3 linked regions of the Ovis aries genome follow. The protein of the gene in region 2 binds, or shares a complex with, the protein of the main gene of each other region. Links are inferred from orthologs where the notes say so. Each region holds a gene or a part of one and is shown on either strand. Other genes may lie near its edges. The genes, in order: PRPF19, XAB2 and PPIE.

Evidence for each region.
Region 1: XAB2 (region 2) and PRPF19 share a complex: the UniProt entries of both Homo sapiens proteins name them as parts of the XAB2 complex. The link is inferred for Ovis aries from reciprocal best matches to the Homo sapiens genes XAB2 and PRPF19.
Region 3: XAB2 (region 2) and PPIE share a complex: the UniProt entries of both Homo sapiens proteins name them as parts of the XAB2 complex. The link is inferred for Ovis aries from reciprocal best matches to the Homo sapiens genes XAB2 and PPIE.

Annotation. Positions count from the first base shown.
Region 1 is NC_056074.1:34,605,907-34,610,113, forward strand, and holds the start of PRPF19 (pre-mRNA-processing factor 19), read right to left. Parts: upstream 2,804-4,207; 5' UTR 2,584-2,803; coding exon 2,565-2,583; intron 905-2,564; coding exon 755-904; intron 559-754; coding exon 482-558; intron 1-481. UniProt on the Homo sapiens protein: Ubiquitin-protein ligase which is a core component of several complexes mainly involved pre-mRNA splicing and DNA repair. Required for pre-mRNA splicing as component of the spliceosome.
Region 2 is NC_056058.1:14,202,397-14,206,555, forward strand, and holds the start of XAB2 (pre-mRNA-splicing factor SYF1), read right to left. Parts: upstream 2,857-4,159; 5' UTR 2,837-2,856; coding exon 2,786-2,836; intron 1,691-2,785; coding exon 1,542-1,690; intron 1,272-1,541; coding exon 1,148-1,271; intron 918-1,147; coding exon 720-917; intron 30-719; coding exon 1-29. Other genes in the region: protein PET100 homolog, mitochondrial, read left to right, coding at 3,145-3,171, 3,868-3,954, 4,092-4,124. UniProt on the Homo sapiens protein: Involved in pre-mRNA splicing as component of the spliceosome. Involved in transcription-coupled repair (TCR), transcription and pre-mRNA splicing.
Region 3 is NC_056054.1:14,378,357-14,381,999, reverse strand, and holds part of PPIE (peptidyl-prolyl cis-trans isomerase E), read right to left. Parts: intron 2,999-3,643; coding exon 2,955-2,998; intron 2,474-2,954; coding exon 2,447-2,473; intron 774-2,446; coding exon 692-773; intron 34-691; coding exon 1-33. UniProt on the Homo sapiens protein: Involved in pre-mRNA splicing as component of the spliceosome. Combines RNA-binding and PPIase activities.

The sequences.
Region 1 (4,207 bases), on a different chromosome or scaffold from region 2:
CGTCACCTCACCAGAAAGGAATAAAAACACTACAGCTGCTGTTTATTGACTGCTCTCATTGCGTCAGGCACTGAGCCAGGCAGTCCTCAAGATGCAGTCTTTGACTCATTCATATTTAGAGCACCTGCTGTGAACCTGGTTCTCACTGCTGGGGCTCTAATGAGTAAAACAAGTCCCTGACACCATGAAGCTCATACTCTAATTTTACTCTGAGTCTCTGTAAACCCTGAGACAGGTACTAATCCATGCAATATGGTCAGGAAAAGTAGCACTTGGATACTTGCCAAGGGACGTGGCAAGTGGGCAACGGAGCAAAGGGTGGAGCCCAGATCTGTGTGACATTAAGAACCAGGCTTCTCTGCTCTCACCCTCCCCTCAAAACAGAAAATAAGGCTCCATCCCTCCCATCCCCACCCATGTCCTAGTCCAGTGATCCCTTCTTTTCAAGTCGCGAAAATATAAATTCTCTTCGGGGACTCACCCACTCATCCTGCAAGGCTTTCAGAATGGCTGGGATGCTGGTGGCTGAGGGAGGCTTGGGCCGGATTGGGTGAGCAACTGCCAAGAGAGACAAAGTGGGTGTGAAAACCCATGACCTAGGGCATGCTGGCCCTCCCACATTCTTTCTTTCCCCTTCAGCACTAACAGACCACCGTTTCCTCCCCTGGCTCCCACATGCTATGCACCCGCCACCCTTCCCACCTTCCCAGGCTTTAGGCTAGGACAGCCTGGACTGGGGCTGGCCAGCAGGCACCTTTGATATCAATGAGCTGCTCCTCGGACAGAGGCTGGTTGTTGATGGGATCTGTGCCATTCTCTGCAATATACTTCTCAATGAGCCGCCGCTCATACACATGATTAGAGACGGGGGACACACAGGGGTGTTCTGGCACTTCATTGGAGACTGCGGAGAAAAGGCAGGTGGTGAGCCTGGGGTGGTGACAGGGACCCTGGGCCAAGGGGACGCTTCACCTTCGGCTGGCCTCCACAAGACCTTGCTCCCTACACTCAGCTAACAGGAATCAAGACATGACACCAAGCCAGTTTTGGACTGTACCCACAATGCTTTCCAGCCACTTAACTAGCTTCTCCATCAGTCTCTGACAGTTAGGTAGTCAACAAATAATTGCTGCACAACTACTAAATGCTAGGCACCTAGGGAGCAGTCAATAATTCCTGCCCATCTCATTTCTGAACAAAAACGCTTAGGCACCCATTATATAGCAGGACAAGAAGATACACACAAAGCCATTCAAGTCTCAGACTAGGACCTAGATGGATTCTCGGACACATTACAAACCGATGTGACAAGTGCTATGATAACAAAGTATTTACATGGTGTTTACTAGGCGCCAAGCTCCACTGTAAACACTTTCCATTGATGAAATCATCCTCACCACTCCCCAACAGAAGTATCCATTTACATCCCTGAGGATTGGGACTGTAGCTGCTCTCTGACTTCCAGTACAATGCAGGTGCTTGGCAAATGCTCAGGAAACATCTAACAGACCAGCTGATGGATACTGAAAAGACCTTCCTCAGGACTGAAACAATGAATGTGAAAATACTCTGCACACTGTCATTTCTTTAACGCTTAAGGACTCTTTTTCTAGTCACATTTCCCTTCACTCTTTCTCTCCTTTATTTTGGATTTATGGGGAGGTTCTGAGAAGAGTCAAGAGCTCGAGAGTTAGGAAGCCGAGAGAGAAAAGAATGAGAAACTAATAACCTGATGAACAACCACTCTCCTCAATAACATATCCAAAAGACAGGACAAAGCATTTGAAAAAAGCATGGATTCAGGATCAGAGAAACTGGCTTCGTCACACAGCTCTGCCACTAACTAGCTGTACTGTTTTACAAAAGCCACATTTCTCCTTGAACCTTACATCCTTATCTGTAAAACCGGATCTTTATTTCTGCTTTGGAGAATTGCTGTGGGGACAGAACGACTCTGCAGTTTTGCAAGCACGCTGTAAACCAACAGAGGCTTTTCCAAATGTGCAGCTGTTTTCATCAGCCCTACAGGGTGAGGCTGGTCTGGCTCCCAGGCCTGTCACCGCCTCCAACTCACTGTGCGATCTTCGCAAACTGCAGAAGCGCTGCCTACCCAAGCGGGGCCTCAGACAACACATCCAGTGCCAAGGCCATTATTTTTGCAGTTGGGGAAACTGAGGACCGCATCCCGGAGCCAGATCACAAAGCCAGCTGGAGGCGGATCCTGCACAAGCCCTCTGGCTTCCTGCTTCCTACAGAGAGCTCTTTCCCCTGCACCACCAGCTCCCCGCTATCCAAGCCTCATATCCACTGCGCAAACGAGATGGGCTGCCTCTGTGCAGCCTGCGAGAATGCACCGGAGACGTTATGTAAACTATGAAGCGCTGCGCAAACTGACCTCACGCTGGAGGAGGAAGACCCCCCCGGGCTGACAGGCCGCCGCCCTGCCTCCCCGGAGCCCCGTTTTTCAGGTCCAGCCCCGACCCCGGCGCCGCAGAGGCGCGCAGATCCTCACGCTCAGCTCTCCGGCCTCCAGCGCCCCGCGAGCGGCCGCAGCCGATACTCACTAGAGCAGATCAGAGACATGGCGCCCTCGCTGCACTCCGAGGCTCCTCACACTGGACTCCGGGATCAGCTACTGGGCCCCCGCGGGACACTTCCAGTTCCCTCGCTGCTTCCAGACGCTCCGCTGCGAGCGGGGAGCTGCCCCGCGGAGCGATGCTTGCGAATGGCTTCACGTGGGACTGTGGCCAGTCGCGCGCCTCAGCCTCCAGAATTTAACGGAAACTGTCCTTTCCCATAATGCAATCAGGCAGGAAAGGGCGCGCCAGGAAATACTCGGCTATTTCCGGGCCCTCTCGGCTAGTTTCGTAAAGCTCCAATGGCTGGGAGAGGAGATTCGAAACTACATTTCCCTTAATGCACTGGGACCTTAAAGCCAATCAATTTAGCTGCACTCTTGAGCCAGGGGCGGTGGAACGACTGTCTTGCAAATATTGGAGTATATGAGAATTTTTTTTTATTTTTAATGCTATTAGTCTTTTATTTCGTGAGCATGGTATACTTTGATTTACTTGAAGTGAAGTGAAGTCGCTCAGTCGTGTCCGACTCTTTGCAACCCCATGGACTGTAGTCTATCAGGCTCCTCAGTCCACCCAATTTTCCATGCAAGAGTACTGGAGTGGGTTGCCATTTCCTTCTCCAGGGTATCTTCCCAACCGAGGGATCGAACCCGGGGCTCCCTGTCTGCAGGCAGACACTTTACCGTCTGAGCCACCAGGGAAGCGGTCTTCTGTAATATTTTTTCAGTATAGTTTTATATTATTGTCCATAGTGGTTTTGCATATTTTATGTCTATTTTTGAGTACTCCATAATTTTTTATTCTATTTTCAAATTTTTAATTTATTTTTAATTGGAGGATAATTGTTTTACAATGTTATGTTAGTTTCTGTAAGAATTTCTTAAGGAACTTTTAAAAATGCATTTTTCTGGGGTCTCATTTAGAGAGTCTGCATTTTCAGTTCGTGCCCCATGTGTTTCTCTGGCAAGTGTTTCTCAGAGGATTAGCTTTGGAAGACCCAGTGAAGACGAAGATACACATGGGTAGAGAAGCTAACACTGGCTAAGAAACTCTTCTGGTCTTGCCCCTACTACCAATTTGCTCTGTGATTTTGGGCAAGTCATCTGCTTCTTGGACACACTGGCCTTTCAAGCCCTCAAACTTATCCACTCTGGTTCCAGATCCTTCACCTGGAACACTTTCCTCAATCCCTGCCCTTCTCCCCACCCCTCCCATCCTTTCCAAAGTAAATCCAATCTCACCCTAAATAGCACTTCCTCTGGAGTCTCTTTTCTTGACCCCTGACTGAATTTTAGTCCCCACAGCACCCTGTAATTTTCCTCTGAGTCCCTCTGGGATAGCTATAATAATTTATTTCGAAGAACTTATTATTTATTTTTGGTTGCGCTGGGTCTTCACTGATGTGAGAGGGCTTTCTCTAGTTGCAGTAAGCAGGGGTTACTCTTTGTTATGGTGTGTGGACTCTCATTACAGTGGCTTCCCTAGTTGCAGAGCGCAGACTTAGTTGCCCCTTGGCAGGTGGGATCTTTAGGAACCCGGGATTAAACCTGTGTCCCTGGCATTGGCAGGTGGATTCTTAACCAATGGACCACCAGGGAAGTCCCGCTATAATCATTTAATTATGTACA
Region 2 (4,159 bases):
ATATACTCCTCAGCGCTTTCGGGGCTCAGCTGGGCACCCACACACCACCGGCCGTCAGTGGGGCCACAGGGCCACCCCACCTCGGGTCAGCCCCCCACCACTGTCCTGGGCAGGAGCTAGTGCTGCACTTCCAGTCTCAGCCCCAGCCCTCTCCAGTCCAGGTCCAGCCCTCGCTGGTCTGGGTTAGACACCAGCAGTCCAGCCTGCACAGACCAGGCCTTGCTTTCATCATAAGCCCCCTACCTAAAACAGCACTGCACCAAGGACTTCACGATGCATTAGAGACTATAAATCTGGGGAAACCGCAGGAGGCCTCCATACCATCTGCCCCTCGACTCTCAGCCCTGCCTGTTATGTGTTTATCTCCTGTTCCCTGCCCTCTCACGGTTGCAGATTTACTCTGGTTTACGCAGTCAGGTCACAAGCATTTGTCTGCCAGGTGAGACTGAAAACTCCATGCAAGCAGGGACTGTCTTAGCCACGCTATCCTCAGAACCTGTATCCCAATGCCTGACGTAGAGCGGTTGCTCACAAACTCTCTGGAAATTGAACACAGAACTCACAAATAAAACCCTGTGTGTCTCCACGAGCCATGTTCCCACTTCCTGTCTGTCAGGGCAGACGGTGCCCCCAGTGAGCGCGTTTTTGGAAAGTCCTGACCTAGGGTACTGGCCCACCTGCCTGAACCTGGCCCCATCTTGCCCTTTTAGGGGGCTCACCTTGAGGAAGCGCCGGTAGCCCCGCACGGCAGTCTCAGGCAGGGGGTGTGAGCGCAGGAAGCGCAGGTACAGGGGCCAAATACGAGAGTGCTGGGTGATGGGCAATGCCCGGAGGGCCCGGTCAAAAGTTCGGCGTGTGTGCGTGACACGTCCCTGGTCCATTAGGAACTGGCAGTAATCCAGCCACAGCCGGGGCATCTGGAGGGGTAGGGAGAGGAGGGGCTGAGCTGCCAGCCTCACCACTGGGCCCCAGGATGCTGGATGTCCCCTGCAGCAGGACCCAGAACCACAGTGGCCCTGGAACTAAATCTCACTCAGCCCGGCATGCACAAAGGTCACAGAATTCCCACCCCTGCTCTGTCCACCTCCATGGACTCTGAGCCCCACCTCCCTACTCATTCCCTGGCCCAGCCATGCCCCCTCCCCACCTTGTGCATGAACACAAAGGCCCTCTCATGGCAGTTGTTGACATCTTCATAGGCGGGGTCGGTCACACAGCGATGCTTCACCTGCGCCCGGCGGGCCTTCAGGTAGCGGTACCAGAGTTTGTAGCTGGGAGTTGGAGGGAGGGGCAGTGACTGGTCAGCTTTTATGGACTCCCAGGACCCTTCCCTCTGCCCTATGAGACAAGTGCTAGGAGCAGGGGCCTGGGGAGAATGGCCAGGACATCAGGGAAGGTGTGCTCGGCAATTCCTGGGATGTCTACTCGCTGACACAACACCTAAGAGGGACCTGGGACCTACTAGCCAGTTCTGGTGTGATGGGATAAGATAGGGTGGGGCAGGGGGCGGGGGCAGGCAGGGCAGCTGCTGCCAATCTCACCTGCAGGGCAGCAGCTTGAGCGCCCGCTCATACAGCTGATTGAGCCTGGGCTTGGGGGCCCCCTGCTTGAACTCGATGTAGCGGAGCCAGCACTTGACGGAGAACTGGTTCCGCATGATCTCCTCCTCATAGGGGAGGTCCTCTTCCTCCTGCCAGGGCCGGGGTGTGGAGAAGGGACAGACCTGCTCTCAGAGCCTGCGCACAGCACCACTCCTACTGGGACCCCGACCCAGGTCCCAAATGCCACTGCTCACCCCTGGAGCCCAGTCACCTGGATACCAGGACTATGGACCAGATTTCTACCTCTCAGAATCTGATGACCTACAACGTGACCCAGACTATCAGACTCCTCGGTCACCGGGTTCCAGGCCAGGCATGAAACTATCACCCAGATATCACTCTCTTGGCCTTCCGAATCAAGCTATCCACTTTCTGGCCCAGGTCACCAGACTCTACAGACACCAAGGTTCTGGTCCAACGCTAGGCCTCCGCCCTAGTCACCAAGTCTTACCTCCTCAGAGCATGACTCCCCAGACACCAGACCTTTGGCATCTCAGGCTCCCACCAGCCAGTTTAGCTCAACTCTCCCCCAGAAGTTGGAAGCTAGATCCTTATCTCAGGAAGAAAGGTATGGACAAGTTCCCTAGCCTTTAACTCGAGACATCAAGAATAAATCTAGTGAAAATGCCACGCCTCTACTCCAAACACCAAGACTGACTCTCCAGGATTCTACTGGCCGTCGCCCACTCAGCTCCACATAACCAGGTCTTTACTTCTTTTCCCAAGACTCTCCCGGTCCAGACACCATGCCTTTATCCCAGAAACTACAACGCTCAGGACCAGACCTGGACCGTTACCCGGAACATTTAGATTTTACCAATGAAACCTGGACTAGTCACCATACTTTTACTTCAAACACCAGGCCTCTCAAAGTTTAGCTATAGGAATTTCCGTTCCCGCCCACACCCCGCGCGCTCCCATTTCCGCCCCAGATCCGGGATGCCAGCCCCTTAACTTCGACCATTTGCTCTTTACTGAGGTCACCTGGGCTCCGGCACCAGATCTTTGCTCCTGACCAGCCTGGTCCAGACATCACGAGCCGGTCTTCGGCCCGTAAGGGTCCTCCTGCTCTCAGACCGGCACAGTTTTAGCCTAAATACCCCAAGTGGCCAAGCCCCAATCCCCTGAGGTATCTAACCCCCGGTGCCCCTATGAATGCCACCCCCGGCCCGCCGCGGACTCACGAAGACAAGGTCCGGTCGCTCGGGCCTCGAGAGCCGCGCCATCACCACCATTTTCCAGGCTCTCCAGGTACGGACAGGAGTCGCGGTATGATGACGTCTAGGCCTAAAGGCCTGCTCTCTCGACCCAAACTAATTTCCCATTGGCTGAACTCTTCCCGATCATGCGCCAGGTGTTGTTGACTTTCCGTTCGACCACCCCAGCTACCGGAAGCAGAGGCGAGCGCTCTAAGATGACGTCATCACGAAGCTACTTGGACCAATCAACTTTAGCAGTGGAGCCCGCCGACTCCCAATGACCTACTGTCTTGTTGGGCTGTTGGCTTTGGGCGGAAGCGGCTGTGAAGCCTAAGAGGAGGAACATGGGGGTGAAGCTTGAGGTGTTTCGGGTCAGTGAGCAATGGAGCGGTCGGAAGGCTGGGCGCGGGGTTCTTCCTGGATGAGGAGAAGGCTCAAAAGGGAGGCCTCCGAGAGAGGGGCTCTGGGGCGAAAGCTCCATTGATTTGAAAGGGACCTTTACAGTTGGAGACGTAGAGGAGGGGGCTCTGGGTTGGGGGCTCTGGGTTGGGGGCTCTGGGAGGGCAGGTGTGAGGAAAGCCCTCTGAGAGATGTGACCTGGGAAGGAGGCTCTAAGAAGGAAGACTTCAGGCTCTGGCGGAGCTCTCTGGTTTACAGTGGGTGTGCGTCTTTCTCCTAGACCGACTCCTAGACTCCGAAGAATGAGTTCTGGGTCTGAGGGCGCTCTGGAATCTCGCTGGGGGTGGTTTGAGGTCTCAGAGAGATGCCTTTATTGTACGAGTTCTTCTGCCCCGGGGCCAATATGTCTGTCTTTCTTTGAGAAAGAGTCTTTTAGACTCGGAGGGGGCTTTCGAGGTGGGGGGTGACTCTTGGATTCTGGGGACTAGACTTCAAGGTGTGTGACTTCTGCACCCTTGCTGGGAGTTTTGGGGTTCTGGAGGGTCCTGAGGAAACACCTCTGGTCTCGGCCAGAGGATGGTTTTCCCGACTCTGAGCAGCCGCTGTACAGTAGGGGTGGAGGCGGGGATGGTAATTCCTGACTACTCATCCCTCCCCTTCCCTTCCAGATGACCATCTACCTCACCTTCCCTGTGGCTATGTTCTGGATTGCCAATCAGGCCGAGTGGTTTGAGGACTATGTCATACAGCGCAAGGTGGGCATCAGTTCATTCCAAGGGGTGGGGAAGGGTATGAGGGAGCAGGGTCAGCCTCCCCTGAGCCGACCCCGCCCTGGATGCGGGGCTCTGGAGGCTTTTGGCTTGTGACTCCATCTATGACTTTGTCCCTACAGAGGGAGCTGTGGCCCCCTGAGAAGGAGGACCAGGTAAGCATGTAATTTTCCTCCCACCGGAGGGGGGA
Region 3 (3,643 bases), on a different chromosome or scaffold from region 2:
AAAACTTCTTCAACCAGTCATCATCAGACCAAACTGGAAGGAAAGCAGTGAGCAGATGAGAACCCATTCAAGCCATCAGCCAGCTGCTAAGTAGGTACTCTGATCAGCGAAGCAGAACATACTTTGTGACCCTCTCGGCCAGAGGTCTCCACTTTGGGAAGTCACATGTGTCAGGCAAGCTCCCATCTTTTAGAGACTGCCAGCCCTGAAGCCCAGCTCTTGTGTGTGTTAGTCGCTTAGTCGTGTCTGACTCTTTGCGACCCCATGGACTATAGCCTCCCAGGCTCCTCTGTCCATGGGATTCGCTAGGCAAGAATACTAGAGTAGGTTGCTATTTCCTTCTCCAAGCTCTTAGCAGGGCAACATGAAAAGGCTATGCCCCAGAGAAAGGTGCAGCCCTTGCCAGTCCCAGCCCCTGATGGAACCTGCCAGGAATGTTGAGAAAACTGGGACAGATGAGAGATCAGGCATGGCTTCTCTCATAAAGGAAACAATTACCCTGGTGTGGCTGAGAAGCTCACACTCTTTATTTCCCCACAAAAGTGGCACATGTCCTTTGCCAATGTAAACCATTCTCTACTACTGTCTGCCAGAGAAGCATTCAGTGCCTCCTTTCAAGAAAACTGGGACAGGAAGGCAAGCAAGGCCAAACTGGAGGGTGTGATGGGGCATCTGTATTACTCCCACTCACCTGGTCTAGAAGAGCCTTCCTTAATCCTCATGGGTTTTGCCAAATTGACACGAATTGTCCGTCCAAAGAGCTCAGATTCATTCTGAAAAGTGTGAAAATCCATTTGCTTAAACTGTTAGGTTAAAAGAAAGTCAGACACTTTCCATTTACTTCTGATGCATGAGACAAACTCATGATTTGTTCTCCCTTAATCCCTGATCCCCTAACAGCAAGTTATGCACGTGCCACAAAACAGCCTGTGGGCTGCAGAGAATTTCCTCCTGGGAGCCATCATACAGTTCCTTTCTCCTTTCCTTCAAATTTATTAGTTCCTTATTTGGCTGCATTGAGTCTTAGGTGCAGCACATGAGGTCTCTGTTGTGGCCCATGGACTCTCTAGCTGCAGTACAGGCTTAGTTGCTCCATGGAATGTGGGATCTTAATTCCTTGATCAGGGACTGAATCTGCATCCTCTGCACAACAAGGCGGATTCTGAACCCCTGGGCCACTAGGGAAGTCCCTTTCTTTTTTAAAATTTAAGCATAGTTGATTTACAATGTTTTGGGTGTACAGTGAACTGATTCAGTTATACATTATATATATATATGTCAGATTCTTCTCCATTATAGGTTATTAGAAGATATTATTATAGATTAGAAAATATTATAGGTTATTAGAAGATAGGTTATTCTCCCATTATAGGTTATTAGAAGATATTAAATAACAGGTTCCCTGTGCTATACAGTAGGACCTTGTTGTATATCTAGTTTATATGCAGTAGTATCTGACCTCCTTTCTTTCAATACTAATAATGACCTCTGCTAACAAAAGTGATGCTGTGTTCAGAGTACTCGGAAATTATAAGGATAAATGCAATTTCCAAGTACCTGAGTTCATTTTCAAAAGTCAAGGTCAGCCTTGAGCAATGAGAAGTGATCTCGCTCTGAGAGCTGAGGAAAACATTTGATGAATGGGAAACAGAGAACAGGAATGAAGTAAAGCCTCATTACCCTAAGATAACTGGTACCAGTAAAGGTCACTCAATGTGAAATGACTTAATGACAGTGAAGAAAATTTCATGGTTTAAAATGTGAAGGGGGAAAAAATTGGGAATGTACTGTGATGAAACTAATTAATGAAAATAAATTTCTTATACTTAAAATTCAGCTTTTAAACTATGGCCTAATTTGAAGAACAGACATATAATGGATGTTTATACATCTGCAGTATTTTTTCCAATAAAATCCTATCAACAGTATGATTATCTTTGCATTTCTTATCTGATGTGAAAATCCTAAGTATCCTGAAGAGGGAACACACACTCCAGAGCTGCATCATTGCCCCAAGGAGCCCTCCAGGCTGTCCCAATCACTTGGATCAGCAGCACATCCTATCATCCTTATCAAATTTCTCTTCTCAACTGTTAACCGGTCTAACACTTCATGCAACCCTGTCACTTTTGTAAAATATGCAATTTCACTGTGCAATTATTTTGCATTGTTTGCAATTTCTTAACCTAGACATAGGCAGCCAGTGAGTGACTGGTCAACAAGGATGATTAGCCTTTACGTTATTATCAAACGGAGAAAGATATCTGAGAAAGGACAATTTCATAAGTGATCAATTCACAGTGAATATTTTCACACGATGACAATTTGTATGTACTTCCTCATGCAACCTTGTAACTTTGGAGGTTTGGCAAACCGAATGTAGAACTAAGTGCCCTCTGTATCACCAAAAAGCAACTTCTGTAAGAAGCAGGATTCCCAGCCTTACCATGTTGTCAATAGCTGCTGCAGCATCCTGCCAAAAAAAGACAAGGTACGAATTTAGGTTTGCAGTCAAATGCTTCTTGTAGTGTCTAAACACATACTTGGTAAAATGACAACAAAAAAACAATCCAACAGAAAAAGGTCTCTTTTTCTTCCTCACCTAGGTTGCACGGGTCTAACAAAGTGCACTTCCTGGCTGACTTCAGCTATTTGCCATTTAGTGGAAGACAAAGAAAGTATCACCAGTGCTACCAGGCAAAGATGCTCAATGAGCAGGGCTGCAGGAGTTTCTGCAGAGCAAGAGGGGCAGGACCTAGCAGGTCTGTAATGTTAATCACAGCCCATGGTTTCATTAAGTGAAGGCAGCTTTCCTTCAAACAGTGTTTCTCATCTCTCCGGAAGCATCAGCATGAGGCCCCAAAACCCAACCCCAAATGAAGAACAGCTCCCTTTGTAATCAGTAACAATAATAACAAGCCAAAGACTTAACATAGATAACAGAATTTTCTCACCTCTGCCAACTCAAATTCCACAAAAGCAAATCCTCGGTGCTTTTCTGAAAAAAGGCAGACAATATCAAGCAATTATCATGTTGGGCAATGGGAAGTAGGTGGTCACAAAGAAAGTGAAGTCAGTCACATGCCTTATCCATTTACTAGAATTCTACACCATCACTATTTAGGAAAAACGCATCTTACTCTGATACTTTCTAGTTTAAATAACATTTCAAGCAACATTACACTGTTCTGTAGTGAGTGAAAGTCACTCAGTTGTGTCCGCCTCTTTGTGAACCCACGGACTGTAGCCTGCCAGGCTCCTCTGTCCATTGAATTCTCCAGGCTCGAATACTGGAGTGGGTAGCCTTTACTTTCTCCAGGGGATCTTCCTAACCCAAGGATCAAACCCAGGAAATTATCCCGCACTGCAGGAGGATTCTTTACTATCTGAGCCACCATAGAAGCCCGTTTTGTAGTGAACATAACTAAATAACGAACTATACTTTTAATCTTTAAAAGCAGCATTCTTTTTATTTTTTTTTTTAAAATTTTATTTTTTACTTTATTTTACTTTACAATACTGTATTGGTTTTGCCATACATTGACACGGATCCACCACGGGTGTACATGAGTTCCCAAACATGAACCCCCCTCCCACCTCCCTCCCCACAACATCCCTCTGGGTCATCCCCGTGCACCAGCCC